Canis lupus familiaris: one gene and its partners. The protein of the gene in region 1 binds, or shares a complex with, the protein of each later gene. Links are inferred from orthologs where the notes say so. Each region holds a gene or a part of one and is shown in the gene's direction. Other genes may lie near its edges. The genes, in order: POLE3, POLE, CHRAC1 and BAZ1A.

Region 1 (7,543 bases):
TTTCACGGGGTCATTACAAAAATTAGTTAATGGATATTACAGGGTCTGGCACATAATTCAAAATAAGTATTGGCATCCTTCCCTTTTCCCCTTCATTAGCCATTGGGGAGAAGACACCACCCATCTCCAAAAAGTCCTATCAAATCAGAATATAATCACAGAAATGCTTGAGATGGCTTTAGATGGGCTCATAACCTTTGGAAAACATGCTTCATTTTTCAATATGCTCCTTTTTCTTTTTTTTTTTTAAAGATTTATTTATTTATTTATTCAGAGAGACCGAAAGAGAAGCAGACACAGGCAGTGAGAGAAGCAGGCTCCATGCAGTGAGCCCGACGTGGGACTCGATCCCGGTTCTCCAGGATCACACCCTGGGCTGCAGGCGGCGCTAAACCGCTGTACCACCGGGGCTGCCCAATATGCTCCTTTTTCATACAGGCAGCTAAAATACCCAGCAGAGGGCAGCCCTGGTGGCTCAGCGGTTTAGTGCCACCTACAGCCCAGGACCTGATCCTGGAGACCTGGGATCGAATCCCACGTCGGGCTCCCTGCATGGAGCCTGCTTCTCCCTCTGCCTGTGTCTCTGCCTCTCTCTCTCTCCTCTCTGTCTATTCTCATGAATAAATAAATAAAATCTTAAAAAAAAAATACCCAGCAGAAACCAATGGGTTTGCTCAAGCACCAAATCAGCAGACTCACAGTCACATCAGAGGCCTCTGGCTTTCCATTTACTGGCTGTATGGTCGTAGGCAAGTGACTTCAACTCTCTCAGCTTGTTTCCTCATATAAAGAGGGGAAGAAAAATCCCTAAAGCATTAAGAGAAATAATATATTTTTACGTATGATATATAATATAGGATCAACAAACAGTATCATCTTTCTCTCTCTAGAAATATTTTAGGCGATCACTACCACCTGATCCCTAATAACTTTTTTGTTCCTAATAACTTTTTACGGACAGTATCCATTTCTTCTTCCTTTTATCCAACACATTTACTGACTACCATATATGTGATGGGACCTGTAACAGGCATAGAGAACAGTAATGAACAAAATAAGTCCTTGTTCTCAAGAGCTTATAAATTAGACCAAAGAGAGCGCAGCATTGGCATGGCATCACAGCTGCCCTATGACTTGTTTTGCTTGGCCTGCACTTTGAATCTTTTTTTTTTTTTTAAGTGGAGATAGTCCACGGTGTTCAGATTTCTGGTTCCTCTTAAAGATCAAAATATATGACATCACGGCTCACAGTTCCAACTATACAGCAATTGGAGCTGAGAGCCTCCTGGTATCTTTAAACCAGACCTGTTACATCCAAATGGAGTTTCCCCCACCAAACCCTATAATCTCTAACTAATCCAGTTCCAGTTGCTCTTTATCATCACGTTTGCTGGTGTTTTTCTCCTAATAGGGAAGTATTTCTCTGTACTTATGTCTCTGTCAAAAGCTGGAAAACTGGGATGCCCACCCAGTTGGCTCAGGAGGTAGAGCATGTGACTCTTGATCATGACTCTGTGGTCATGAGCTCCAGCCTGACGTTCCCGGTAGAAATTACTCAAAATAGGGATGCCTGAGGGGGCTCAGTGGTTGAGCATCAGCCTTTGGCTCAGATGGTGATCCCCCGGGGCCTGGGATGGAGTCCCACAGCACCAGCCTCTTACAGGGAGCCTGTTTCTCCCTTTATGTCTCTGCCTCTCTGTGTCTCTCATGAATAAACAAGTAAAATCTTAAAAAAAAAAAAAAAGAAAAGAAAAGAAAGAAGAAAAGGAAAGAAGAAAGAAAGAAAGAAAGAAAGAAAGAAAGAAAGAAAGAAAGAAAGAAAGAAAGGAAGAAAGAAAGAAAGAAATTACTCAAAAATAAGTAAATTAAAGACAGCCCAGGTGGCTCAGCGGTTTAGCCTGCCTTGGGCCCAGGGCGTGATTCTGGAGACCCTGGATCGAGTCCTGCATCGTGCTCCCTGCAGGGAGCCTGCTTCTCCCTCGGCATGTGTCTCTGCCTGTCTCTCTCTCTCTCTGTTTCTCATGAATAAATTTAAAAATATATTTTTAAAAAAAAAAGGTAAATTAAGGGTGACATAAGACAGCACATTTTACGGGGGAAAAAAAAAGCATTCGAGCTCAGGGAGAATGAGAATAATTTCTATGCAATGATGCAACCTAAAAGCCAGTGCAACACCATGCTAATGATGCTTGCGACTGGGAAAGACGTATTATGCACAAGTCAACGAAGTAAAAGACACACAGAAGGCTGAGGGTTTGGCTCTGAGTGAACGCAAGGCCGCGCTCTCCTCCTGGGCGGCCCGAACCCAGGCCCGAGGCGAGCCCCGCCCGCGTCTACGTCCCCAGCCTTAGCGCTGCGCCCGCAAAGGAGTTTGCGTGCAGCACTTCCAGGCGACGGTTCTCCGTACTGCGCTTATGGCAAAGCTGGGAGGGGTGAAGAGCTCCAAGACGGACATCAGGTCCCGCAGAACTGAAAAAAAAAAAAAAAAAAAAAAAAATTTTTTTTTTTTTTTTAAAGATACCCGCTTCGCTCCGGTACCGCAGAGCGGGACAGCGGGCCTCGGGCGGCCGGGAAGCCGAATCCGGCCGCAAAGCCCGACGCCCGCGCCGACGCCGAGACGCGGCGAGGCCCCGCCCCGCGTCGGAAGGAGCCCCGCCCACGCCTCCGTCGCCCACGCCCGCCGTTGCCAGGCAACGGCGCAGAGCACTGTGGGGAAGGGACGGAAGCTCCGGTGAGCCATACTTGAGCTGAAGGAGGAGTCTCTAGACGTGGCGGCGGCCAGCAGCAGGGGCACGAGCCTGGGAAGGGGCCGCTGGGTCCCCGGGGGGAGGCCGGACGAGAACCCGGGAAGGCCAACGCCGTAGCGGCGTGCAGAGTTCGGACGCTCGGGCGACTCGAGGCGGGGGCGGGGCCGGGTGCTGAGGGAGGCAATGGCGCGCGGGGCACTGTGGGACGCAGCGTGGGCCCCGGGGGGCGGGACGGAAGCCTCCTTGGGTCAGCGCGCGGCGACGCGGGAAGTCCGGACGCCGGAGCGGCCTGGAGGAGAGGCTCGAGGCGGAGGCGGGCCGCGGCGCCGGCGGCCATGGCGGAGAGGCCCGAGGACCTAAACCTGCCCAATGCTGTCATCACCAGGATCATCAAGGAAGCGGTGGGCAGCCCCGGCTGGCGGGTGGGCGCGGGGCGGACGAGCCGGCAGCGGGGGAGCGGGTCCGGGGTCCGGGTCCCGGGTCCCGGGCCGCAGCGTTACTCACCCGCGCTCTTCTCGCAGCTCCCGGACGGTGTCAACATCTCCAAGGAGGCCCGCAGCGCCATCTCCCGCGCCGCTAGCGTCTTCGTGCTGTACGCCACTTCCTGGTGAGCCGGGCCGGGCGGAGCCGGCGAGAGCTCCTCTGGGGCTGGGGCTGGGGCGGGAGGGAGGGAGGGAGGGAGCCGCACAGACCCCCCCCCCCCCCCGTCCGGTCCCCACTCCGCACCCTGGAGTCGCGAACCCCCAACAGGTGGGCCCTCCCGCGGTGCGGCGGAGGTCGCGCCCTCGTCCAGGGCTCGCGAGGTCTGAAGCAAAATAAAACGACCCTTTTGTGCAGGGAAGGGGAGGGACGCATCCGAGCATCCCTGACCTAGGCTTTGCCCTGCCCCGTTTCACGCCCGAATCTCCCTTTTGTTTCAGTGCCAACAACTTCGCGATGAAGGGAAAACGCAAGACGTTGAACGCCAGTGACGTGCTCTCAGCCATGGAGGAGATGGAGTTCCAGCGGTTCGTCACCCCCCTGAAAGAAGCTCTGGAAGGTAACGTCCCTCTGCTCTGTGCGGCCGAGGAGATGTCCGTCCCGTGTGACCGGCTCACCTGGCCGCGCTGAGCCTTCGCAGCTGGGGTCTGCGTAGGAACAGGAACCGAGTATCTGGTTGCGACTCGGAATCCGTTCGATGGGCGCCGAATCTGATCTGATTTGTGATGCCGAGCAGATTCACTGTTCCTTCCCGGCCCCAGCTTCTCCGGTTGTGCAGCGGAGTTGGCTGCTTGCGGTGGGTTTGGTCCAGCCCTGCCTGCTAACCGCCTTCCTCCTCACAGCGTACAGGAGAGAGCAGAAAGGCAAGAAGGAAGCTTCCGAGCAGAAGAAGAAGGACAAAGACAAAAAAACCGATGCAGAGGAGCAAGACAAGGGCAGAGATGAGGACAACGATGAAGACGAAGAAAGGCTGGAAGAAGAAGAACAGAACGAAGAGGAGGAAGTAGACAACTAGTGGGACGGGAAGACGTTGGCACCTTGGCAGGTACCGCCCTGAAACGTGGTGCGGTCCTGAGAGGCTCTTTCCCTGCTGGGGAGAGTGGGCCTCGCCAGAAGAGCCTGAGAAGATCAAAATAAAAACTGACTAAAATGACCAAAACCAGCGCTTCCGTCAGAGCATCTGAATAGCAGAGTCCCATTTTGCTAAGTCAGTTCTGAAGGTAATGACTTTTTGACGAGAGGGATTCTGAGCGGCTAAATTTAATTAGTCGATTTGATCTCTTATTACTTATATATGTGGTCTGGCAGTTTTTTGGTCCCCATCCATCACCACCACCACCACCACCCCCAAAAAAAAAAAGTAATAATGATTTCCATGCTGCCTGCTGTGTTCCAGGTCACAGAGGCAGTCAAAGCTCAGGAAAAATTGGGGCTTTTGAGCATGGTTGGTCTGTTTTGATTGTATAGGATTTGGCAGTACTAGCTTGTTATAAGTGGTTGGGATGGTTTAGCTTTAGGAAACTACTAAAAGGTTATGGGGGGGAAATGAAATCTGTTGTCTTTTCACTTGGCGTTAACATTGATTGAATTTTTATTTCTCCAGACCCACTTGGCGTGGAGCTCCTCTATGTTGCCTGGTAGGCATTTGACCTGCTGGGGTGCTGTCCTCTGGGTGCATATGCTTCTAAATCATTAGTGTAAAGTGGAACTCGTCAAGCACGTGTGCCAATATCTTACCCCCCCCTCCAAAAAAAACCAGACGGTTTAGTCTCAGATGCACCTCATTGCCTGCCACTCTATGGCTTTAGGATTTATGGTCACCTCCTGGAAGGTATAAAACCCCAGGCTTTTTCTTCTCATAGTCCATTTCCCAGGCTTGTGACTTTTGTTTTTCATTCTTTAATTCATGACGAATTCCAAACTTTATTTCTTTTAGGCACAACTTTCTCCCTCTTGCGTCTCCCTTCCCTGTCTCCCTTCTGCCTCTCCTCTGTTCCCCATTCCCACTTTCTTCCTCCTTTTGTCACATCTCCCAACCCAGGATCTTTGATAACCTGCTTAATGTCCCAAAGTGCAGAAATCTGATGGTGCTCAGGAATCTAATCCCTACTGCAAAAAAATCCATCCCCTTTAACTGCTTCTAAAGTAATTCTGTCGACCTTTCTCAGAGTTGTTTTTTTGTTGTTGTTGTTTTTTTCTCTTGATATTTGGTGCTCCAAGCACTTTTTTGTTTGTCTCTAAGTTGAGCGCTTGGAGGTTGACAGATAGTCAAATGTATGTAGTTTGACACTGTTAATTTGTTTAATGAATATAGTCAAGAGTTTGTTGACAAATAAATGAAGAATGTTGAGGAAAATTATAATGCTTTGTACAAATAAAGAACATTCTTGTTAACAGTGATGACTCCTGTTTCATCTTGCTTGTTTATACTATACTTTGGGGGAGGACCCTCACTGATCATCCCTATATGGTTTTTGGAAGGTAGACTGGGCCAGGTCTTTGTAAATCTGGGATCCTGCATTGCCTTGGATGACCAGCAGATGCTGCTCTTCGACCACGACAAGAGCTTTTCTATGGCTCTGCTGGGCACCCTATGGTTACTAGTTGCTTAATGACTCCATATTTATCGAGTCCCTATTGTGTGTTTGGTACTGTCCTACATGCTTTCAAGTATGAACTCTGAAATCCTATAAAGGAGAACTTTTACCTTCATGATGTCAACCACAATGCTTTATTACCTCTAATCTACATAACTTTCAAGTCACGAGTTTATAAATAACATTCCTTAAACTTGCAAACCCAGGAGTCATTAGATCTGGTGGCTTTTTCCCTGTCCACAGCAGAAACATCCTTTCCTAATTCCCATGAGCATCACTCAGCTAAGTTCTCAAGTCCCTTCTGGACTCCTGTGGCTTCTTTGAACTGTGTCCTGCCACCTGTCTGCTGCCCCCCAACTTCCCCCAAGTACTGCTTGCCAAGTGGATCATCCTGGAACATTGCTATGTTCCAGGCCCTCACTGCTTCCATTTAATCCATACTTAAACCTGGTACACAAAACCTGCTTGAGGGCTTGCCTCACCATCTATTCCAATCTGTCTCTACCACCTTGTAAGTCTCCAGTTAATGCATCCCCCAGAAGAACTCTCCACATGGCTTTAGGTCTTCCCGAACTTTGACTACCTAAGAAAAAAAGCATATTTCCTGGGAATGGGAATTCTGACTTAAAACCACAGAATTTAAGAGGTGTCTGGGTTGCTCAGCTGGTAGAGCCTGAGTCTTGACCTCAGGGTAGTAAGTTTGAGCCCTGCACTGGGTGTAGAAATTTTTTAAAAATTTTATTTATTCATGAGAGACAGAGACACAGACAGGGAGAAGCAGGCTTCCCGCAAGGAGCGTGATGCGGGACTCAATCCTGGATTCTGGGATCATGACCTGAGCTGAAGGCGGATGCCCAACCACTGAATCACCCAGGCATCCCTAGAAATTACTTTTTAAAAAAAAAAAAGGAAAAATCTGAGGTTATCAACTAGTTTTTTCCAAGCACACCTTTAACATTCCTGTGGTGGTATCTGAATTTTGAAGGTTGCTTAACTAAGGTAAGGCAAAAATCTCATCTTTTGTAAGCCACAACCCTTCATGCCTACAGATTCTGATCTAGATTTGGAGGGTGGAAAGGTTACCATTTTTACCAGTGCAAAATTACATTTTCAGGGGTATCTGAGGGGCTCAGTCAGCAAAGTGTGCAACTCAATGTCAGGGCTATAAATTTGAACCCTATATCGAGTATAGAGATTTTTTTTTTTTTTTTAATTACTGGGGCCCCCATGTGGCCCAGTTAAGCATCCAACTTCAGGTTCACTTTATGATCCCAGGGTCCTGGGATCCAGCCCTGCATGGGGTTCCCCAACTCCATGGGGAGTCTGCATCTCTGCCCTTTCCCCCACTTGTGTGTGCGTGCTCTTTCTCTCTCAAATAAATCTTTTTTAAAAATTTACTTTTAGGGCGGCTCCAGTGGCTCAGCTGTTTAGCGCCACCTTCAGCCCAGAGTATGATCCTGGAGATCCAGGATCAACTCCCACATCAGGCTCCCTGCATGGAGCCTGCTTCTTCCTCTGCCTGTGTCTCTGCGTCTCTGTGTGTGTCTCATGAATAAATAAATAAAATCTTTAAAAAAATAAGAAATTACTTTTGCAACCTAATCCGATTTTTGCCAATGAGAAATTGAGGCTCATCAGAGAGAAGTGACTTGCTCAAGATCTTACCACCAATTTATTTATGAAAGCTAGGATCCTATTCTAGCGGCCCTGTGTGTGACT
Region 2 (7,103 bases), on another chromosome or scaffold:
TGGAATATTTTTCCACCAGAGAGAGAATCTTAAGCAGGCTCCATGCCCAGTGTGGAGCCCAGTGTGGGGCTCAGTCTCATGACCCTGAGATCGTGACCTGAGCTGAGTCAGGCACAAGAGTCAGGCACTTAGCCGACTAAGCCCGTGGGGTGCTCCTGTGCATTTTAATATCTTATAAGGCAGCAGTGTCTTGCCATGATGGTTATTTTTATTAGTGTTCTGGTTACAGAGTTGCATAGGTTTTGAGGCTCCTTCCCCAGTCATGGTTCCTGCAACTTCTATTATTTTAATGAACTGTTTGGCCAAGGCTTTTCAGGGAGGCATCTACTATGTGGCATCCAAAATGCTTACACTGGGTGAACTGAGGGTTGCGGGAATAGATAGTGTCATGATCGGTGAAGACAGAATTTCCTTTCTCCTTTCATTCAGGGATGATGGCCTCTCCTCTTCTGTCTCAGCACTTAAGCGCCTGGAGCGCAGTCAGTGGACAGATAAGATGGATTTGCGGTTTGGTTTTGAGAGACTCAAGGAGTCTGGGGAGAAGACGGGCTGGCTTATCAACATGCACCCTGTAAGCACCTGGGCAGTTGCACTCTCCTTGTGGCTTAGGCCTTTGAAGAGTGGGTAGTGCAGCTGGAGATGGGATTGTTTGTAGCTCTCCTCCTTATTTAATGTCACTGGGCTGTATAGAGGTTACTGGGAATATAAAACTGAGGGGTGTCCCTGTTAACCTATAAAAAGTTTTCAAAGATGAGGGAGAGATTGAGAGAAATCCTCATTTGGAAGATGTGGTATGGTTCTTTGTGAGTAGGGTTGGTAGTGTTTATGTGGGGGTGGAGAAGGGTTTTGTTTTTGTGCTCAGTTTCCCAGAGTAGGAGCAAGAGGGTTCTTGTACTGCATAGAGGATAACCTTGTGCCCGTGTTGACTCATTCTCTCACAGACTGAGATTTTAGATGAAGACAAACGCTTAGTCAGCGCAGTAGATTACTACTTTATTCAAGATGATGGGAGCAGATTTAAGGTAAGCTCCTGAACCCCAGGCAGCTAAGACCCACTCAGTGATGAGGTATAGGTGGGGTCCAATATGCCAGGTGTTCATTTATCTGGGAGGAGAGGGGTTGGGAGGCTTCTAGTGTTCAGCTGCTTGAAGCATGTCAGGGACATGGACCCCTTGAAGCTACATGGGTCACTATTTAAGATATCATAACCAGCTTGGAAAGACCGAGATTTTGTTTGTCTCAGACTTTCGCTCCTGCCATATGTGCAGGTCCTAATTCCTGACTGTGTCATCTGGTAAAAGATGTCAAAGTCAAGGACACGTCGGATCTTGGCTGCTTGTGGGTATAACTGCAAATAGCCTGTCTTCACTTTTCTCCCTTTTTTTCTTTCTTATTGCCCCTGAATGGGTTGGTGGCTCTTGCAGGTGGCCTTGCCCTACGAGCCGTATTTCTACATTGCAGCCAGAAAGGTAAGTCTGTCGTCCATAGAATTAAGTCACATGACCTGTGCCTCATTTTATAGGGGGGGCTTCAGAACTGAAAGAGGCCTCTAGAGGAACATACAAGGAAAACAATAGTTTTTACTAATAGGAAGTCTTTTCATTCTGATCTTGATTTAGGGTTGTGAACGAGAAGTTTCATCTTTTCTCTCCAAGAAGTTTCAGGGTAGAATTGCTAAAATAGAGACTGTCCCCAAAGAGGATCTAGACTTGGTGAGTATCACCTGGACCTTCCAGGGTAAATGAGGCTGAGTCTACCCTGCTCCTGGGGTGAGATGGGAAGAAGCCAAGTTGAGCACCTATGCGATGTGACTGTCTATATGTCTTCTTAGAGAATTCTAGTGGTATAGAGTTGGACAAGATGCTTTGGACTTGCCAACTCTTCTACTTGTGTATTTACTTTTGAGTTGTTCTCCCTTTATTTTTTTACCCCAAATAAAGTCCTTTTTCTCTTGAACTCATGAACACAATCTCATCACTTTCTAGCCAAATCACTTGGTGGGTTTGAAGCGAAATTACATTAAGCTGTCCTTCCACACTGTGGAGGATCTTGTTAGAGTGAGGAAGGATGTCTCCCCTGCTGTGAAGAAGAACCGGGAGCAGGGTCATGCTGGTGATGCCTACACAGCTATGCTGTCCAGGTAAGCCTTGTAAGCAGAGCAGCTAGGCAGTCCACAGGACTGTTTTCCCATTTTTCATAGGTTGACAAGATGAATAGGAAGCAGGAATGCTCAGCAATGAAGTTAGCCTTAAGGCTCTGTTCAGTGTGGATACACTTGCAAGCAATTAGGTGGAATTTCTTTTCTTAAAATAAATTAAAATTATTTATGAGAGCAAGGGAGCAATGGGAGAGAAAGAGGGAGAGGAAGAGAGAGAATAATAAGGAGGTTCCACATCTAGCACAGAGCCAGGTAGGGGACTTAATTTCTGCATCTTGAGGTCATGACCTGAGCCAAAATCAAGAGTCAGACGCTTAACCTAGCCACCTAGGTGCTCCAGCCTAGGTAGAGTTTATGTGTTGCATTTGTGTTAAATGATTTCCTGGGTTGTAGTTTTAACTGTGCCTCTTTCCTTACATAGGGGTGGATTTCTGGCTGTGATAGTAAGGACATTTTGGATTCCCAGTGACACTACTTTTTTTTTTTTTCCTTTTTAAGATTTATTTATTTGAGAGAGCGAGCAAGAGCTAGTGTGAGCCTGGGGAGAGGCAGAGGGAGAGAGAGAATCCCAAGCTGACTCACCGCTGAGTAGAGAGCCTGATGTGAGGCCTGATCCCAGGACTCTGGAATTATGACCTGAGCTGAAGGCAGACACTTAATCCACTGAGCCACCTAGGCACCCCAATTTTTAAAAATTTTGACTTACATTTTATAAGACACATGTCCTAAGTGTGCATAGAATTTCCTCTGTATGGCCTGCTGCTTGTGGGAGGATGTCATCCAAGGCCATTCTCTAAGAAGAGCCTCTTTGGTCATCTCTGCCACCTTGATTTACCTTCTGTGTTTATTCCACATAGATTCTGGTCTTCCCTCTTTTTTGACCCCTAGTAGGGTATAGTTGAATAAGCTGGCCTCTCTTTGTTTTGCAGCGTTCTGCAAGGGGGCAGTGTGGTTATTGATGAAGAGGAAGCCTCTAAGAAGGTCACTGACCAGTTGGACAATATTGTGGACATGCGAGAGTATGATGTGCCCTACCACATCCGCCTCTCCATTGACCTGAAGATCCATGTGGTGAGTGGGCCATTACTTTGGGCAGCCGGATGGACAGTCAGGAGGTGACCCTGAAAGGATAAATCTGTAGAGATACACACCTCCCAGGACAGATGCAGAGCTCTTTATTAACGTGCTGCATGTCCTGCAGGCTCATTGGTACAACATCAGATACCGAGGAAGTGCCTTTCCTGTGGAAATCACCCGCCGAGATGACCTTGTTGAACGACCTGTGAGCACTGCTTGCATTTCCTCCATCCTGACTTTTCCACTTATTTCTGGAGAGATCTCATTTGGTGCTGAAGGATGAATTTGATTCAGACTTGTTTTTCTTTTTCCTCAAATACTTTAAAAAGTTGCAGAAAAATATTTTTTTTGGGGGGTGGTCAGTTTCTGACCGAGTATAATTTCATTCTGTGCTTACGTATCACCATATGATGTCTGTGTTTGAACTGGGCTGGATCTGAACATTTGAGGGAAAGCTCTGACTTCCATTTTGAGTGGTTGATGGTGAAGTGTTGTGGTGAAAAGTGAATTTATAATTGGCAGACCTTGATTCAGGATGGCTTTATGTTCTTGGGCAAGTCTGTACTCTGTTTTCTCATTTCCAGAATGAGAAAGCATTTCTACCACCATCTCCTATCTGGATTATCATAAAGGGGTCATGCATTTGCATGCACATCGAGACTCAAGTGTTCTGTAATTCTAGGATTTTCCTATCATGCTCCAACCTCTCATATATGTTTAAGTCTTCATAACCATCAGTGAATCATAGAATTCTTGATATAGGTCAGTCAACCCCCAAATGCCTGTCTCACTTCTTTTGGAACCTCTCCCTGTGGCAGCTCAACTCTTGCTTTTAGCAGCTGGAGGTGGAGGGGTGGGTGTTGAGATGACCATTGGGGTCTCTGGAGCTCGAATTGGTTTATGTCCAGCTTAACAAGACATCTCATCCCTGCAGGACCCTGTGGTTTTGGCATTTGACATTGAGACAACCAAACTGCCTCTCAAGTTTCCTGATGCTGAGACTGACCAGATTATGATGATTTCCTACATGATTGATGGTCAGGTAAGTGGTATCTTTTGGGATTTAAGCTTCCTAGGAGCAGGAACCTTGTCTGGTCCCTAAACCAGAGCAGTATCCACACTGTGGTTAATATATTTTGGGTGAAGGCAGCCTGGGTGGCTTAGCGGTTTAGTGCCACCTTCAGCCCAGGTTGTGATCCTGGAGACCTGGGATGGAGTCTCACGTCTGGCTCCCTGCATGGAGCCGGCTTCTCCCTCTGCCTGCCTCTCTCTCGTGTGTTCTCTCTCTCTTTCTCTCTCTCTCTTATAAATAAATAAATAAAATAAAAAAATACGTGTGTGTGTGTATGGTGAAAAATTAGTGAGTTGAGTTCAAGAAAGTGAACAAACAAGCCATACTCCTTCCTTCCAATACAAATTTGAGACACTTGGTGCTCTTCTTGGGAGAACTGGGGGCCTTCCCATTGCTGCAGATTCCTATGGTAGGGTCTTCTGCACCAAAAGTATAGTGTTTTGGCTTTGTGTGTCCTAACTCGCGCTGACTGGCGCACGCACTTTCTAGGGCTACCTCATCACCAACAGGGAGATCGTTTCAGAAGATGTCGAAGATTTCGAGTTCACCCCCAAGCCAGAGTATGAAGGACCTTTTTGTGTCTTTAATGAACCTGACGAGGTAAAGAGGTATTCCTTGGGAGACTGCCTAGTATTTGGGGTGAAATGGGAGGAAGAGGCACAACCCAGCAGTGTGCTGGACTGGATATTGAGTGGTGTGGTCCTCATTCACATTGGTGGCACAGGGTGAGTGTGAAAATAGTGACACGAGGTCCCTGCTTTTCCTAAACTTGGGGAGGGGTGCTTGGAAATAGCTCAAAGAGAAACAGAAATTCTCTGACAGCTAAGAATCATTGAATTCAGGTTCATCTAATCCAGAGATGGTTTGAACATGTCCAGGAGATGAAACCCACCATCATGGTCACCTACAATGGGGACTTTTTTGACTGGTAAGTCTGATGTCTTCTTTGTGAGTAACTAAAATGCGTTTGGGAGGGGATGTTGCACAGTGGTGTGAATATACCGCTTACTGCTGCCGAACTGTACACTTACTTACAAGTGGTTGAGATGGAAGGAAAGTGTTTGGGAGAGAAGGGAGGGATAGGAGGAATGCCACTTGGTGGCCGAAGAGGCTCCTTGTATTTTGAGGAGAAGTGTGGGGCTTCCTGGCTTTGCTTAGGGGTGTGCTAGGCGCAATCTTCTTGTCTCTGAGGGACTGAAGGATAACTGCCCATGTGCTTGTCGGTCTTCCCTTATCCTTAGGCCGTTTGTGGAGGCCAGAGCAGCAGTCCACGGACTAAGCATGTACCAGGAGATCGGGTTCCAGAAGGACAGTCAGGGAGAGTACAAGGCATCCCAGTGCATCCACATGGACTGTCTCAGGTAGGCCCGGCAGCTCATCGCACTATCTTAGGAGGGCCTTCTGTGACTGGAATCCAAAGCTCCTTTCTTGCACTACTGGTCCTGTTCACCTCCCTTTGAGGAAGGGGCCTTCTGAGAAGCAGCAGCCATCACCTTTGAGGACAGTGGCTGGGGCTCTGGCTAGGTCCAGGAATGTGCTGTCTTCATCATGTGCTCTTATTCCTTCTGCCAGTAAACATGTTAGCATTGGACCTGCTAGGGAAGCCAGAACAGAAAGATGGCCAAGTAGAGTAAGGTCTTGATGCTGTGAAAGCCCCCCACAAAGGTGGGGGTGCAGCAGCCAAGGATGTCCACACTGGAGATAGGCATTTGACGGGGCTCAGGGTGTTGAGAGGAAGGCTGAAGGGAAAGGAGGTTTTGTGGGCCCCTGTCCCCTGTGGGGAGGTGAATTTTGGGGAGCCATTGACACACTTAAAGTTTTATCTCTTTCCTCTGTAGCCTTGGCATTACCGTGCATGGGTTGGAAGGGGCAGGCCAAATCATAATTAGGATGGGAGTGAAGAGGGATGGACTTGGGGCCGGGGGCCTGTGGTCCTGTGGTTTGCGGTGGGCTTCTGGGCAAGGAGCACGTAGGTTCTAGGTGTAAGCAGGCCTGGGAACCCCATTCCCATGGGGCATGGTGATCAGCGGTCTCTGAGGAAAGGACGTAAAAGGATGGTTGGGGGCTCTCAGAGGAGGTGGCAATACTGGGAGGCCCCAGGGGGCATTTCTGAAGACAAGGATGGCAAGAGTGTGGAGGCCGAGGGAGGTGAGACTCGATGCAGTCAAGAGACAGCTGTGAGTGCTAGAGACCTAGCTGTGTCAGTCATGGGCTGAGCCATGGGGAGGATGTGGAAATGGGCACAGGGTGAGGGGTGTAGGGTGGCTTCCTGTTTCCATGCTGAAGGGGTTGTGTGAGGAGAGAACAGGAGTTTAAAACTAGGGCCTGGGGGCGGGGAAGAGCACAGCAGACTAGCAGCACCCACAGGAGAACCCGGAGAGGTTGAGGGAGGCCGGAGGTTATGGGTTCCCACTTGCTCATCTTTATATTTCTTCATGAGGGAGAAAGGGAAGCCATGGGGCTCAGAGGACTGGCCCTGGCATGTCCTCGTGTTTGTGGGCACATGGATGAAGCCAGCTGGATCTGGGGGAAAGGCTTCACGGGAGGCCAGGGCCTGCACTGTGTGGGGTCTTAGTGGAGATCTTTGGGGTGCCTGTTAGAACTGCATCTTTCTGGGGTGTATGCAGCTTTGCCATCTCTCATGGTTCTCTGTCTTTATCTCAGACTCATCTTTGACCTTTGGTCTCGTTCCCAGGTGGGTGAAGAGGGACAGTTACCTTCCTGTGGGCAGCCACAACCTCAAGGCAGCTGCCAAAGCCAAGCTAGGCTATGACCCAGTGGAGCTGGACCCTGAGG
Region 3 (7,728 bases), on another chromosome or scaffold:
TTCAAAACGTATGAGACTTGCACAAACATGCTATACAAGTGTACATTTTATATTTTGTAATCACTACCCAGGTGAGGGACAGAATCTGAATCAGAAAGCTGGGCAGCCCAGGTGGCTCAGTGGTTTAGCGCCGCCTTTGGCCCAGGCTGTGATCCCTGGGTCCCTGGATCGGGTCCTGTGTCGGGCTCCCTGCGTGGACTCCGCTTCTTCCTCTGCGGGTCACTCATGAATAAATAAATAAAATCTTAAAAAAAAATCAGAAAGCTTACACAATACTTTGTATTTCCCAGTCTTTTTTTTAATGAATTTTTAAAGATTTTATTTACTTATTCATGAGAGACAGACGGAGGGAGGGAGGGAGGGAAGGAGAGAGAGAGCGCAGCAGAGACACAGGCAGAGGGAGAAGCAGGCTCCATGCTGGGAGCCCGACGGGGACCTGGGACTCAATCCCAGGTCTCCAGGATCACGCCCTGGGCCGAAGGTGGCACTAAACTGCTGAGCCACCCAGGTTGCCCTAATTTTTTTTTTTTTTTAAGTAGGGCAACACGCCCAACGTGAGGCTTGAGCTCACAACCCCAAGATGAAGGGTCACATGGTCTATGCCTAGGCTGGCCAGGCACCTTTTTCCATGAACTTTGAAATCCAAGTTGATTTGATCAGGGGGTGAAAAGAACTTGCCACATGAACACTGAAACCTTACGGGGTAATTTACTTTTGGAGGGTGCTTTACAGTTCACAAAGAGCTTTCTCATTCCCATCCCCTTTGCTGCTTACCACTGACTAGGAGGGAGGTAGTGGCGGGCAGAGGGTCACTGACAGGGCGGGGACTTCGATCTTTATATGCTAGGCGCTTTCACACCTCCTAACCCCAACATCGGAGTACTCCCATCTCTGTAAATGAGGAAACGGGTTCAGCACTTGCTCTGCCTGGGGTCACACTGCTGAGTGGCAGGACAGTCCTCCCACTCTACGTCTCAGCTCCATCCAGTGGAGCAGCTTCTCCTTTCAGAAGAGCCTTTTTTTTTTTTTTTTTTTTTTTAAGATTTATTTATTTATTCATGAGAGACACAGAGAGAGGCAGACACACAGGCAGAGGGAGAAGCAGGCTCCATGCAGGGAGCCCGATTCAGGACTTGATCCCAGGACCCTCGGGTCATGCCCTGAGCCGAAGACAGATGGGCTTCCCTGCTGAGCCACCGAGGTGTCCGTCAGAAGAGCTTTTGACCGGCTTCATGGACACCCAAACTCTTGGTTTTCCTTTTATTCAATGGTCAGTTCCTCCCGGCCTTCCTCCTTTGCTGGATTTTCCTTCTCTCTGCCACTTTGAAATGCTGCGGTGGGACTGTTTCACTCCATCTACACTCTTCTCCTGAATGCATTCATTCAAGGTCACCGTTTTAACTACCTAGACAATGTGTGCAGGCTGAGAGAATTAGGGCCATTCAAGTTTAACATTGGCCCAAGTACAGCCATTGTAGCTTCGGTAGCCATCTCCGGCCACTGTGACCAGGCCACTGTGACCAGGTCCTGAATCCACCTTACCCCAGCTACAGTAAAAAACACAAAGCACGGCCTTATTCGGAATAAGGAAGCAAGAGCTTGTGAGACCTCTTTACTGGAGATTCTCACACATACCCCCCCTTACTGAAAAACCCCACCTTACCCCTAGAGCAGTCCATAAAAACCCAGCTGTAACACATCTTGGGGTCCAAGTCCCTGCTCCGCTGTGTTGGGTATACTTGGACCCAAGCTTGAGCTTGCTAATAAACCCTCGTGTGTTTGCATCGGTGTTGGCTCCTTGGTGGTTTCTCAGATTTGCAATCTTGGGCGCAACAAATGTTGGTTCCTAAATTCCGGTTCAAAAAATTAAAAACAAAACAAAACAAAAAATTCGGACTCCAGCTCAAATTCCAGGGTCTCATGTCCAATTTTCCGCTCAGCACCACCACTAGTGTTTGGCAATTAAAGCTTAACGTCCTCCAAACCAGACCTCTCCCCAAAGCTGCTCCTGGGGCAGTGCTCCCCATCTTGGCACGTGGCACCGCCATCCCGCCCCTCATTCCCATCCCACCGGCAGGTCGTGGTGGCTCTAACCTCGGAGGTCTCTAACCCGAGTCCTGCCCGAACCTTGGAGGTTTCTAGCGTGAATCCTCCCCACACCTCGGAGGTCTCTAACCCGAGTCCTTGCCTGAACCCCGAGGTCTCTAACCCGAGTCCTGCCTGAACCCCAGAGGTCTCTAACCCGAGACCTCCCTGAACCCCGGAGGTCTGTAACACGAATCCTCCCCACGCCCCGGAGGTCTCTAACCCGAGACCTCCCCGAACCCCGGAGGTGTCTAACCCGAGTCCTGCCCGAACCCCGGAGGTCTCTAACCCGAGTCCTTCCCAGCGCCTCACTGGGGCCTGGCAACAGCCTCCTCGCCGCGCTGCTTCCCTTCTTGCCCCCCCCCCCCCCCCGCGCCTCCTTCCTCTCCCCAGGGCTTCTGGGCTCACTGGGAAGAACTCCGAGATCCACAAAGCCCTGGCTGCCTCCGACTCCGTTCTCCCAGCTCACCGCCCCTTAGCCACGCCGGCATCTCCTCCCCGCCCCCCGCCCAAGTACGGCGTGATTCACGCAGGACTTGAACTCCCCGCCCCGAGCTCAAGACCTGAGCTGAGGATGCTCGGCCGCCCCGGGCACACCGCAGCTTGTCCGCGGCCTCCGCCTTCTACTCTGCCCCCCGCTCGCACCCTCCCCGCTCCGCCCCGCGCCGCTCACGGCAGCCAGAGGGATCCCGGAACTCGCCCGACAGATCCCTTCGGCCGCTTCCCACTTAGAACAAGAGCCAGCAGAGCCGAGGCTCCCTCGCAGTCCTGCTGCAGCACACCGGGCTCCCGGAGCGGCTCCAGCCCTGGGCCTGCGCCGGCGTGGACCCCGCCGCGAGGCAGCGCCTTCTCGGGGCCCCCCGCCCGGTATCTCCGCGGACCCCGCTGCGCGATCGCCGCCGAGCCCCCGGGTCCCGCACCGCGCAGGCAGGCCGGCCCCCGGCGGGAAGCCCCGCCCCCGCCCCCCGGCGCGCGGCATCTCGGGATTTGTAGTCCGGCCCCGGAAGGGCAGGCGCCCGCCCCCGCGGCCGCGCCTCCCCGACACTACAACTCCCACGGGGCAGCGGGACGCCGCTCCCGCACCCTCCAGGCCGGCAGGCCGCCTGCCTCGCGGCGGGTTCGGCGGCCGCCGCGGGGCGGGGCGCGAAGATGGCGGACGCGGTCGCTGGCAGAGACAAGTGCGGGGAGCCGCGGCTCGTGTCACTGCCCCTGTCCCGCATCCGGGTCATCATGAAGAGCTCGCCCGAGGTGTCCAGCATCAACCAGGAGGCGCTGGTGCTCACGGCCAAGGCCACGGTGAGGCGGGCCGCGCGGGAGGACGGAGGGGCGGGGGGCCGCCCGGAACCGTCGCGCCCCCCTCCCGACCCCCCCCACCCCGGCCGCGGGGCGCGCGCCCTCCGCCCCGCCCGCCGTCCCCCTCCTCCTCCTCCTCCTCGGCGCGCCTTCCGCCCACCCACTCGGCTTGCCTCGCTGCCCCGCGCAGCTCCCGCCCTCCCCCGCGCGCCCTCCGCCCCGCCCACCGCGCGCCGCTCCCGCCCTCCCCCGCGCGCCCTCCGCCCCGCCCCCCGCTCCCGTCCGCCCTCGCGCGCCTATCGCCTACCCGCTCCTCCGTCTGCGGCGCCGCGCCCGGCCCGCGCAGCTCCCGTCCTCCCTTGCGCGCCCTCCGGCCCGCCCGCCGCGCCGTTCCCGCCGTCCCCCGCGCGGGCCCCCGCGCCTTCCCGTCCCCCGCGTGCGGCCTGTGCCTTGGGTTTCGGGTTCCGGCGGCTCGGGGGAGGGGGCGGGGCCTCCCGCGCCTCATCAGCGCCCGTGGTACCTGCGCGCGCCCAGGTGCACCTGCCTGCATCTTAGCGCCCCGGGCCCTGTGTCGGCTGCGGTTCTGCCCGCGCGCGGTGTCCCTGGGCTCGGGCCTCCGCCGCTGGGGGCCGGGGGGCTCCGTGCTCCCGGGGTCCCGGGGATCTTCCTTCTGTTTCCCGTTAAAGGGTAGAGTTGAGTGAGCCCTAGAGGCCCAGAGCCCCCGGGCGCCTGCGTCACCCGGACATCACCCGCGCCTTCACGCCTCCTTGGGTTGAGAGCCCCGGAGGGAGAGCGTCCCCAGCAGCCTTGGCCTCGGGGTGCTCGGTGTCCCCGCCCGGCACGTCCCGCCTGCGAGGGTGAGGGCGCGGGGCGCGGGGCGCGGGCGGGCGCTAGGACCCCTCCCTCCCGGGCCCGGAGGGCGTTAGAGTGAGGAGCGGTGACCTCGAGGCTCCAGGCTCCGCTCAGGCGGTTGCTTTAGGGAAGGTGTTTGGGCAAATGGGGAAACGTTGTAGGGAACCGGCTGAGACGCGGTGCTCGAGGAGAAGGCCGACTGCGCTGGGTCAAGGAGGCAAGTTGGGAGTGGACCGAGCTGCAGTCCTTGCACACTTCCAACCCACGGCTGAATGCCTGGTCAGCGTTTTGCCTGCATTAGGAATCTAAAATGGCTTTAGGGCAATGCCTGCTTCCCCACCGGCTTTGACCCCCGCGGGCTTCCTGTAACTGGAGAACCCAAGATAATCTGCAGTCTGGTCACCTAAGCCTTAATGTAATTTAAAAAATTAAGTTCTGCGGTAGGTTTTTAGAGCATACCTTTCATTTTACTTTTTCGTTTTGTTTTAGGAACTCTTTGTTCAGTATCTAGCCACCTATTCCTACAGACATGGCAGCGGAAAAGAAAGGAAAGCTCTCACCTACAGTGATTTATCAAACACTGCAGAGGAATCGGAAACTTTTCAGTTTCTTGCAGGTACTCAGTCTTTGAGACATTCTGGTTAAAACATACATAGTAATTTACACCTTTTTTTTCTTTCCTTCTATTTTTTCTCCTGTTTTCACTGAAATAGACAATTTTTTTTTTTTTTTTTTTTTTTTTTTTTGCTGCTTTCTCCAGGTGCCAAAGTTTACCATGACCTGGCACAGGAAGACATTTGTAGTTTTGTCAGAGTATGTTTGTAATGTGGTTCACCTAGAATGGTAACGAAGTCAGCAACCTGCACAGGGATGTTTGGCTGGGTGGCTGGGTGGCTGGGGGAGCCTGGCTGACCCACCCCTCAGACTCCTTATCACTGAAGGGAAAACTCTGGGCTGGTCTACGTGGCCCTAAGAGCAGAGAAAGTAATAGTTGTGGACAGGCTGTGGGGGCCACAGCTGTAAAGAGCTTCCATCTGCCTCCGAGGCCAGTCGGCATGTCTCAGGTAGGTGGGCAGACTTGCTCATCACCAGCACATACAGGAGCACATAATTTGCAGTCCGTGGAGTGGAAACAGGTCTTTGGCAGGAGTCAGGAGGCAATACTTGTTTCCTGCTATTTCACCCAGAAGCATGGTCGGAATTTTGTCTTGTTTTGGAAACTGTTCTAGAGTTCAAAGCAGAAACTAGCACATTTTGAAATTTGCATTGCTGTGTTCGTGGTCTGCCAAAACCAATTGCTGATGTTAGCTTTATATTTTTAAGATATATTACCAAAGAAGATTTTAGCTAGTAAATATCTGAAAATGCTTAAAGAGAAGAGGGACGAGGACGAGGAGAATGACAGCGATGATGGGAGTGACGGGGACGAAGCAGAATCCTAGACCAAACAGGAAGTGCTTTAGAAATCACCCTGCTGAGGACCCTCCTGGATTAGCAGCATTGCTTGGAAGTAAGCACAGCGCTGTGTGACTTTAGACTCCTCACTTCTCAGAGACTTCAAGTACATTGGATTTCTTCCTGGCTAAGATAGAGCACCTGTTGTGCCCACATCACAAATGGCCAGAAGAAAAGTGACCCAGACAGCAGCCTCTCTGAGGGGCCCGCACTGCAGTTCGGGGGCACAGAGGCACCAAGAAAGCTGCCTGTATGGTCAGGCACTGCCAGTTGATCTGCTGCAGCTGAAAGCTGTGGAGGCAGACAATTTTGCTTCACTTTTTAATTTACAGATGATAGATTTTGAAGAGCTTCTAAATACCAGTTGTATAAATTCATAGATGTATATCTGGAAATTAGTTCTTGTAAACAACTAGATGTAGTTTGAGCTAAATACATAGTATATGGGTAGTATGTTACATTTGAAAATTTAATGATTTGTTCAAATACTACAATTTTATTAACTGTAAAGAAATAAAATTTCTTTATTAGAAGCTGTACATAGTTTTAGTCAATGCTTTGTGGAACTAGTTTTGGAGCTCTCTATTCTAATGTCTTGCATATTATCTGAGAAGTCTGCAAAATTTAAAAATAAGCGTTTCTAATACTTTCATTCTCGGAAGAAAAAAAACTCAATTAAATCAAATACGAAAAGAAATATAATCTCTGTATAAACATATTTCTCTTAAAAACATTTTATTTTTTTATTTTTATTTTTTCTTAAAAAACATTTTAAAACATGTTGTATATTGAAAATCTCTCAGGGCGCCTGGGTGGCTCAGTCAGTTGAGCATCTGCCTTTGGCTCAGGTTATGATTTCAGGGTCCTGGGATCAAGTCCCACATTGGGCTCCCTGCTCAGCAGGGATCTGCTTTTCCCTCTGCCTCTGCTCCTTCTCAAGTAAATAAATAAAACTTAAAAGAAAATGTCTTATTTTACTGTTCCTTTCTTTATACTCAAATTGTTTTTATTCTTCACAGAGAAAACTACAAGCCCTATTTTTTTTTCCCCCACATAGGGTAAATTTTTGGCTGTTTTTTTAGTCTCTCTCTCTTTTTTTAAAAAGTTGAATTAGGGCAGCCTGGGTGGCTCAGCGGTTTAGTGTCGCCTTTGGCCCAGGGTGTGATCCTGGAGACCGGAGATCAAGTCCCACTTTGGGCTCCCTGCGTGGAGCCTGCTTCTTCCTCGGCCTGTGTCACTGCTTCTCTCTCTGTATGTCTCTCTCATGAATAATTAAATAAAATCTTAAAAAAGTTGAATTAATTTTACATCCAATAAATCATCCTTTAATAGCCAATCTTTTATGTAAATATCAATATATGGGACAGTTCCCCATCACCCCAAATTTTCCCCTGTACCCCTGCAGTCCCTTCCTTTATCTGCAGGTAACCACTGATACTTTGTTCCTCTCGTTTTAAAATTTTTAATTTTTTAAGAAAATCTTCACTTCAATATACAGTTTTGAGCTTTGACAAAACCAGTTCCACAACCACAAGATTCAACAGTTGTATCACCCCCCAAATTCCCTCTTGGTCAAAGTCATTTCAAACCCTTTACCTTGGCAACCACTGAGCTATTCTTTACCCATGTGAAAGTTCACAAACTTTTTCTGGAAAGGGTCATAGAGAAAACATTTTAAGATTTGGGGGGATAATAACCTGTCACAGCTGTTGACCTGTGCCATCATAATAGAAAAGCTGCCGTAGACGATACAGAAAGGAATGAGTATGGCTGTATTTTGGTGAGGTTTCATTTCTGGATACTGATGTTTGAATTGTGTAATTTTTATGGGTCATGAATTATTCTTTTGAAATAAGAACATGGGCAGCCTTGGTGGCGCAGCAGTTTAGTGCCGCCTGCAGCCCGGGGCGTGATCTTGGAGACCCTGGATCGAGTCCCACGTCAGGCTCTCTGCATGGAGCCTGCTTCTCCCTCTGCCTGTGTCTCTGCCTCTCATTCTCTCTCTGTGTCTCTATGAACAAATAAATAAAATCTTTTTTTTTT
Region 4 (7,724 bases), on another chromosome or scaffold:
ATTTTAGCAGTTTGGGAAGGATTTGGAATGGTACTTTAGCTCACTTATAGATTCAGTGTGGGATGGGTATACAAGAAAACTAGATATTATCAAATCCAAGGGGAAAAGCACAGTGGTCTAGAGAAATTGGACAAAGAGTCAAGAGGCCTAGATTTCAGTTACTGAATTTAAGTTTCCTCAGCTTCAAAATGAAAGAATTAAGAGTTCCCAAAGGTTTCTTTCAGCTTTAAGTAATTAATTATTATGTCACCAAGCCACCTAAGCCTTTCTTAATCAATCAATAGAAAAAAGGAAAAGTATTCTAGCTCAAGCTTGAAAATACATTTTTCATAGATTTGTTTTTACATACATAAAGCAATGTACTTTCTCAAATATTCAACTAGTCTTGATGATTTAGACTAATATATGTCCTGCCTACCTAGGATATTTACATTTTACATTTAAGTGGGGGCAATTGATGTCTTCATTCAGAGAGGTGACTAAAGGAGAGTGAGGGATGCATCCTGAGACCTGTGAGGAAATGTTGGAACACAAGCTTTCTATTGCCTTTCAAATCAAGCCCCATTGATGACTTCATTTGGGACAGATCATTCGTCCTCCTATATTTACTTCTAATCTTTCTACTTCTCTTCTTGCATTATATTACTCAAGATCATTAGTACTCACACAATTCTTGTTTTTGTTGTATTTACATCATCTCTTTCCTAGAAGATGATTGTTCATTTTTTTAAAAGACCTTTCTGATTTGAGAAAGAGTGAGAGAGCACAAGCATGGGGATGGACAGAAGGAGAAGGAGAGGCAAGGAATCCCAAGCCCACTCCACACTGAGCCCAAGCCCAATGAGGCGCACTTAATCTTACAACCCCAAGATCATGACCTGAGCTGAAACCACGAGTCGGATGTTTAACTGACTCAGGCACCCAGGCACCCCAGATTGTACAATTTTTAAGGCCAGGATACATTTATAGTGTATTCCATGAGCTAGTAGTGTCTTAGCACATAAGAAAAGCCTGATAAATGTTTAATTAAATTGTTAAAAAATTAAAAGATTTTAATTTCATTTTTTATGTGATACTTTAATTTTCATAGTTTACAATACTTTCAATTTTTTCACACATGGTCTTATTTCATGACAGTATCCTTAACTACTTCCTGAAATAGCGATGAGCTTTTCATTCTCAAAAGCCTAGAAGTAGTAATAAAGAGTTAATCGTGATAGCAAAATATGAAATAAACATCTTAGGTAACTTTCAGTAATAAATGTGTAGGATAACTTTAAAAGAAGTATGATTTAGGTCTGCCTGGGTGGCTTATTCCATTAAGTGTCAGCCTTTGGCTCAGGTAGTGATCCTGGGGTCCTGGGATCCAGTCCCTCATCCAAGTTCCTGTTCCACAGGGAGCCTACTTCTCCTTTGGCCTCTCTCTCTGTCTCTCATGAATAAATAAATAAAACCTTTAACGAAATAAACAAAAGTAGTATTATTTTGAGGTAACTTAGTCTATCAATTTGATCAAGTAGTATAAACACATCAAAACTAAATTAATATGTTAATTATAATTTACTAAATATATATTATTGTGAATTAACAATGAACAACTGTATAACATTATTAAATATCACAAATCATTAAAATAAATGCTATGTATGTAACTCAGAGAATTGAGTAATGTTAGTATCGTAGTATTGGTATCAGCATATGGTAGTAGGGAAATAGTATTCTGATAATGTAGAATAAAATTTCAATTTTAAGTTAGTACTAAAAAGAATCCAATTATCTAAAAATCTGTATCTAATAAAAATAAAATCACCATTTTTGATCATGATTTTAACAAAATTTTAACCTCATCAAATAGTGAGCTCTAAGGCCCTGAGGGATGACGTATCGAAGTGTTGAATAGTGATTCACACATATTGTACACCTGAAACTAGTATTACACTGTATGTTAACTGGAATTTAAATAAAAACTTAGTGAGCTCTAAGAAATACAAATATGATATATTCAGGGAAAATTTCCTGTTTTTAGCTTAACGGATAAGCTGGGATTTTGGATTGTGAGAGTGATGCTTCATTAGCACTTGTAAATTTATCCATCCTCCATGTTCCCCCTTTGAGATTATATTTGTAGGTTCTAAATTTTTCACCTGGAAAATTAAATACTTTCTAGGTAGGGAATTTTAAATTGTCACTCAAGTACAAGGCCACTTTAAATGACTGCATAATTTTTTTTGAAGAGTTTATCCAGACTAAAGAATATAGTTGGTTCTGAGAACATTTCCAAGCCTCTGTGACTTCTATATTCAGACAGTAAAGTGCATCAATTTTATTAATGACTTTTAAAACACTCAAAACATATTGTCTTCCACAAAAATTCATTTTGCTAGCTGCCATAAAAGTACGTTGAAAGAAGTTAAAAAATTATAACTCTTGCAATTTGAACAGATTCCTCACATTTTTTTCCTATGTACAAATGTCCTTAATTTCAAGATAAAAAGATGATCCCACATTATAACTATAACCATTTCACGGTATTGGTAGTTGTGTCCTTTGTTGAATGGCCGTTCTTCAAACTCACTGTCTTACAGATTCATTCTTACATGTTAATCCACAAATAAGCAAACGTCAAGGGCAGTAGCAAAAAAGACCATTTTACACAAAGCTGGCAAACATTTGGAATCACTTGTAGTTTGAAAAATTCCTTTTAATTCAAAAGTCACATTTATTATGTGAATTAAAATTAGTTTCACAAATGGAAATTGTGGATATGGGAAAGTTGCTTAGGGGAAATTTCACTAGTAAATCCACAACCTTTAAAATTCTGTGTGATTGAATCGAATGTTGATACTTTGCAAAATGTTTTCATTGGCGTATCACAAATACTACTTTTTAAAGGTGTATTTAGTTTTTAGTTTCAAATATGTGGGAGTCCTACAGGCATGATGACATTTTCTAAAAAAGACTTTTTTGGTCTTTTCCTCTGCCAAGTCTTTGGCTGAGTTGCCCTCTTTAAATATTAACGAGAACTGCTGTCAAGAAAGGTATTTTCTTTTCAAGAAGGATGTTTACACAAGCAAAATATGTTTTTAGACATGCAAATTCTTTCTGAGGAAAATATCAAAATACTTTCTATTTTTTATTCCTCACTTCTCTTCCCATCTTTAAAATAAAAGTTAAATCTTAACTGGGCTCCTTCCCCCACCGTGAAGCCAAGCGATGGTGCCAGACTTGAAGATGAAGGCTTTACTTTGTTAGCCATGTGTTTATGCAAGCCCAGCGCCTTCCCTAGATCTCTCGGCTGATAATCTCAAACATGGAGGATGCTTCTGATTCTACACAAGGGGTTGCTCCATTAATTAATAATGTAGCTCTCCCAGGCTCTCCGCCGTCTCTTCCTGTATCAGTGACAGGCTGTAAAAGTCATCGAGTAGCCAATAAAAAGGTAGAAGCGAGAAGTGAAAAGCTCCTCCCAACAGCTCTTCCTCCTTCTGAGCCGAAAGTAGATCAGAAACTTCCCAGGAGCTCCGAGAGGCGGGGAAGTGGCGGTGGGACGCGATCCCCCGCGCGGAGCCAGGCCGTGGCAGCGGGAGAAGCGGCGGCGGGCGGCGCGGCGGGGCCGGCGAGAAGCGACCCCCCGGCAGGACACAGGCTCCCCTCGCCGCCTTTGTAGTGGAAAAGGTGGAGAAGTGGCAGTCGGCGTGCTCGCAGGTGAGGGGCTCCGTGTGGTCGTCGGGAGCCGGCCGGCGCCGACAGGGAAGTGTAGGCGAGCGGGGGAACAAAGCGGAGCGGCGCCGGGGTCCGCCCGCAGCGAGCTCCTCGCGGCGTCGGGCCGGCCGGCTGCGCGCCAAGCACGTTGCGAGCCCGAGGCGGCGGCGGCGGCGGCGGCGGCGGCGGCGGCGGCGGCGGCGGCGGGCTGGGAGCCGGCGCTGGGGGAGGGGGCCGCCGCCGTTCCCGCACCGCCCGCCCGCCCGCCCGCCCGCGGCGGGGCGTGCGGCCCCATTGTGAGCCGGCCGCCGGGCGTGCGGAGGTGGGGCGCGCTGGGAGGGCAGAGGCGGCGGCTCTGCGCGCTCAATACCCCAGGAGCGGCAGGAGCGACCTCGGCTCCGGTGGCAGCCGCGGCGCGTCAGTCACACAAAAGGCAGCCGAGCTTCCCCCGGCGCGCGGACTGGCCCACGCCGCGGCCGAGCGCTCCCCACCTTACCGGCTTTCCTTTCCCTCCAATTCTGATAGGGAAGCGGGGCCGACGCGGGCGGCCGAGGGTCCGGGTGAGCCCGCGGGCGGACGGGAGATGCCGCTGCTACACCGAAAGCCGTTTGTGAGACAGAAGCCGCCCGCGGACCTGCGGCCGGACGAGGAAGTTTTCTACTGTAAAGTCACCAACGAGATCTTCCGCCACTACGAGTAAGGGCCGGGCCGCGCGCGGGGGGTGCGAGGGAGTGTGGGGACTCCCTCCCCGGCGTCCTTTTGTCTCTCTCTTCTTTTCCTCGCCTTGGGCTTCTGGCGGGGCGACTCGCAAGTGACGGCTGGCCGCGGGCCCGCGTTTCCCGGCCCCCCGAGCCCGACCCGGGGACTGCGCGGGGTCCCCGGGCGGCGCGACCGGCTGAGGCGCGCGTGGGGAGAGCGGGCCGGGGCCGCGGAAGCTGGGGTCCTCGGCCGGCCGTGGGGACCGCTTCTAGCAGCCGCTGCCGCCCGGGAGCCGAGCAGCGGAAACTCCCCGCCTCGCCCCTCCCCGCCTCGGCCACACGCGCACTCCGGGGCCAGTTCCGGGATCCCCGCCCGGCGGCCGAGGGGATCCCCGCTCGGGTCAGCGGCACGGGGCCGCCGTCCCCCGGCCCGGAGAGGGAATCCCCACCCCCGGGGGCAGGAAACGGCCGGGCCGCGCTTGCTTCCTCGGTCGAGAGTGGAGCCTGACGTTGGGGCTGCCTTAGCGCGGGGAGGGGAGGGGAGGGGAGGGGAGGGGAGGGAGGAGGGGAGGGGAGGGGGCCGAGTTGAGACTTGGGGAAGGAGCCCCCACCCCCAGCCCCCGGCGGGCCGGGGGGCAGCGGGGTCCGGGACTCGCGAGCCATCACCGGCGGCCTCTCGTCCGGTGCGGCTAGGCCTCGGAGTGTGCGACGCAAGCCTAGTGCTCTGTCACCACCTCTTCTGGGTGACTAACTCCCGGCCCCGGAGAACTCAGCGTCTCCGCCTCCGGGAGACCTTGGTGAGGAAGAAGTCGGGTTCGGGCGGGGAGGGGGGGCGGAAGGGAGGGGGAAAAAGCCGGGCACTGGGCGCACTTAGTTATCACTTTGGCGTAGCCCCAAGGGCGGCGGTGGGCGTAGGGGGAGGGGGTTAAGACAAGTTCAACTCCAGCCTCAGCCAGTCTCCTCTTTTTATCCCCCTGCGCATGTGGGCTGCCTGACATGTGCCACTCGCTATTGTTTTGATAAGAATCCGGAGCTGCTGCGTGTGTAGTTTTCACTCCTAAATTTTCAGTACCTCGCCTGGTTTATCCCAAGAGATCCACTTGTCCTGTGACACCGAACACTGGGGTGCTTTAGAGATGTGTGTTTAAACAGGATCTCCAAGTGAGAACCTAAATTGGTCGATCAATGAAACAGCCTGATCCTCCCTTTTTCTCGTGCGTTATCCTCCCTCTCCGCTCAGAAGGGGGGTCCCTTTGTGGCTTAGAAACCAAATGTTATAGCAACCAAATAACTTGTGTGTGGGAGGCACCTTATTCTGAGTGGGGGCTTACTCGAGGGAGGGCTTTCAGCAAAGTCCGCACCTGTCTGAGAAACGAGCAGCGAAGTTAGAAAAATCAGTTCCTTTGAGCTTTTAAAAGTAAGGCTTCTTTTTCTTCAGCTCCACAGAAAGAGTTACACATAAACATGTTATATCGGGAGAAGTTTTTCAGCCGACTGTACTTTTAAAATAGGAGTGCACGTCTTAAATCTACTCCTGTACAGACTTGTTTTGTTACTCAAATAGAGTTCACTCTTGTAACTTAAGTGAATTTGGATTAGGTAACTTGACAAGGATGATGCCTTTTTTTTTTTTTTTAAGTTTAAGTTAAAATCCTTGGTAATAATTCCCAATTTAAAAAAAAATGGTATTTAAGAGTGCCAAGAAAATAGAAAACGGGGTTAAGTTTCAAACTTCCCCTTTGGCATAAGCAATCTTACCTTTTTAAGAGACTTTTCCCACTTTAGAAGGGCGCATGAATATGGCTGTATCCCTTTTGAATTAAACTTTTTGTATACTTTGGTTCTTGATTTACTATAATCATGGAGGTATCTGAAATGCCGAAATAAAGGAAGAGATTTTAGATATTCCACCTTCTACTAATTAAGAAACTGTGTCCTTTGTAGTTTTATAGCATTAACAAAGTTCTTTTTTAAATAGCTGTTTTTTTGGGTTTTGTTGTTTTCCCTGTGATGAAGTATTTGGGTTTTTGGAATTTACAAGCAGTTCAGGAGAGGCAGTTGGTTTAGGAGCAAAGAACAAAGGAGAGCTACTAGTGTTCTTAGGTGTTAATTTTTGTGACTTTAAATTGGCAAAAAGGGAAGAAGACTGACATTTAATTGTGTTAAATTTTGGTTTACTTTTTCCCTCTTAGATGATTACAGAGAGATCAAAATTGTATTCATGGTTTATGGTATGGTGATCCTTGGTATTATGGTAATCTGACCCTTGGCACAAGTCTGGAGAAGGAAATCTCTGTTTTTATTCATTAGCTCACCAGTTGGTTTATGTGAATTTGTTTGAAGATTATCCTTTAAGGGCATTATATGAATATTTGTTTTTTGTATTGGGGTGAAGACCACTGTGCTCATCTATTTGCTCAGGTTTTTGATTTCTGAATAGAACCTTTCTACCTTAATCAATCTCAAAGGGATTTTCTACACCTCCCTACCTTGTTCCCTTTGCAATACAATGCAAAGTATAACTTTTTCTTCTGACTCTGGTTAGTAGAAGTTTGCCAGTGACCTTTTAATTGTTAAATAGTTTTTTGTCTTTATCCTACTTGGTGTAATAGCCTAGCGCTTTCTCCTTTGTCCTAGGCAGCAATGATCATCCCTCCATTTTATCTAGTGTAAGATCAGCTATTACTACATAGTAATGCAATACATTATTGCCTCAATTTTTCTCTTTTCCTAGACCCTGAATTTTTTGAGAAAGGGACTGTGACCAGGATAGATCCTTAGTGGTTATACAGTACAAACTCCTTTTTCTGTTTGTTTGAACTACATGTTCTTTAATTACTAACTCATGTTTGACCTGCTTTCCATAAGTAAAGAAGACTCATTAAAAATAGCACATTAACTGTAGGTAAATGCATAAGCTAAAGTACAGAAGAATGAAACTGGACCACTGTTTTTGTGTTATACACAAAAGTAACACAAAACTCAAAATAAGTTAAAAGACTTGAACATAAGACCTAAAACTATAAAACTCCTAAGCAGTAAGCTCCTTGACACCGTTCTTGGTGATGATTTTTTAATCTGACACCAAAAGCAAGAGCAATGAAAGCAAATTGAAACAAGTGGGACCATCAAATTAAAAAGCTTCCTCAGGGATCCCTGGGTGGCGCAGCGGTTTGGTGCCTGCCTTTGGCCCAGGGCGCGATCCTGGAGATCCAGGATTGAATCCCACGTCGGGCTCCCAGTGCATGGAGCCTGCTTCTCCCTCTGCCTGTGTCTCTGCCTCTCTCTCTCTCTCTCTCTCTGTGACTATCATAAAAAAAAATA

The links.
Region 2: POLE3 (region 1) and POLE share a complex: the UniProt entries of both Homo sapiens proteins name them as parts of the DNA polymerase epsilon complex. The link is inferred for Canis lupus familiaris from reciprocal best matches to the Homo sapiens genes POLE3 and POLE.
Region 3: POLE3 (region 1) and CHRAC1 share a complex: the UniProt entries of both Homo sapiens proteins name them as parts of the CHRAC ISWI chromatin remodeling complex. The link is inferred for Canis lupus familiaris from reciprocal best matches to the Homo sapiens genes POLE3 and CHRAC1.
Region 4: POLE3 (region 1) and BAZ1A share a complex: the UniProt entries of both Homo sapiens proteins name them as parts of the CHRAC ISWI chromatin remodeling complex. The link is inferred for Canis lupus familiaris from reciprocal best matches to the Homo sapiens genes POLE3 and BAZ1A.

The regions. Positions count from the first base shown.
Region 1 is NC_049232.1:68,165,983-68,173,525, reverse strand, and holds POLE3 (DNA polymerase epsilon subunit 3), read left to right. Parts: upstream 1-2,980; 5' UTR 2,981-3,082; coding exon 3,083-3,148; intron 3,149-3,251; exon of another isoform or gene 3,252-3,268; coding exon 3,269-3,354; exon of another isoform or gene 3,355-3,358; intron 3,359-3,667; coding exon 3,668-3,786; intron 3,787-4,069; coding exon 4,070-4,242; 3' UTR 4,243-5,627; downstream 5,628-7,543. UniProt on the Homo sapiens protein: Accessory component of the DNA polymerase epsilon complex. Participates in DNA repair and in chromosomal DNA replication.
Region 2 is NC_049247.1:450,562-457,664, forward strand, and holds part of POLE (DNA polymerase epsilon catalytic subunit A), read left to right. Parts: intron 1-429; coding exon 430-571; intron 572-941; coding exon 942-1,022; intron 1,023-1,424; coding exon 1,425-1,469; intron 1,470-1,619; coding exon 1,620-1,712; intron 1,713-1,985; coding exon 1,986-2,140; intron 2,141-3,087; coding exon 3,088-3,229; intron 3,230-3,359; coding exon 3,360-3,440; intron 3,441-4,169; coding exon 4,170-4,277; intron 4,278-4,796; coding exon 4,797-4,907; intron 4,908-5,149; coding exon 5,150-5,235; intron 5,236-5,548; coding exon 5,549-5,668; intron 5,669-7,002; coding exon 7,003-7,103. UniProt on the Homo sapiens protein: Catalytic component of the DNA polymerase epsilon complex. Participates in chromosomal DNA replication.
Region 3 is NC_049234.1:35,772,750-35,780,477, forward strand, and holds CHRAC1 (chromatin accessibility complex protein 1), read left to right. Parts: upstream 1-3,151; 5' UTR 3,152-3,234; coding exon 3,235-3,381; intron 3,382-3,685; exon of another isoform or gene 3,686-3,758; intron 3,759-4,719; coding exon 4,720-4,846; intron 4,847-4,990; coding exon of another isoform or gene 4,991-5,055; exon of another isoform or gene 5,056-5,547; intron 5,548-5,553; coding exon 5,554-5,672; 3' UTR 5,673-6,224; downstream 6,225-7,728. UniProt on the Homo sapiens protein: Forms a complex with DNA polymerase epsilon subunit POLE3 and binds naked DNA, which is then incorporated into chromatin, aided by the nucleosome remodeling activity of ISWI/SNF2H and ACF1.
Region 4 is NC_049229.1:13,853,002-13,860,725, reverse strand, and holds the start of BAZ1A (bromodomain adjacent to zinc finger domain protein 1A), read left to right. Parts: upstream 1-3,566; 5' UTR 3,567-3,705; intron 3,706-4,155; exon of another isoform or gene 4,156-4,227; 5' UTR 4,228-4,285; coding exon 4,286-4,398; intron 4,399-7,724. UniProt on the Homo sapiens protein: Regulatory subunit of the ATP-dependent ACF-1 and ACF-5 ISWI chromatin remodeling complexes, which form ordered nucleosome arrays on chromatin and slide edge- and center-positioned histone octamers away from their original location on the DNA template to facilitate access to DNA during DNA-templated processes such as DNA replication, transcription, and repair.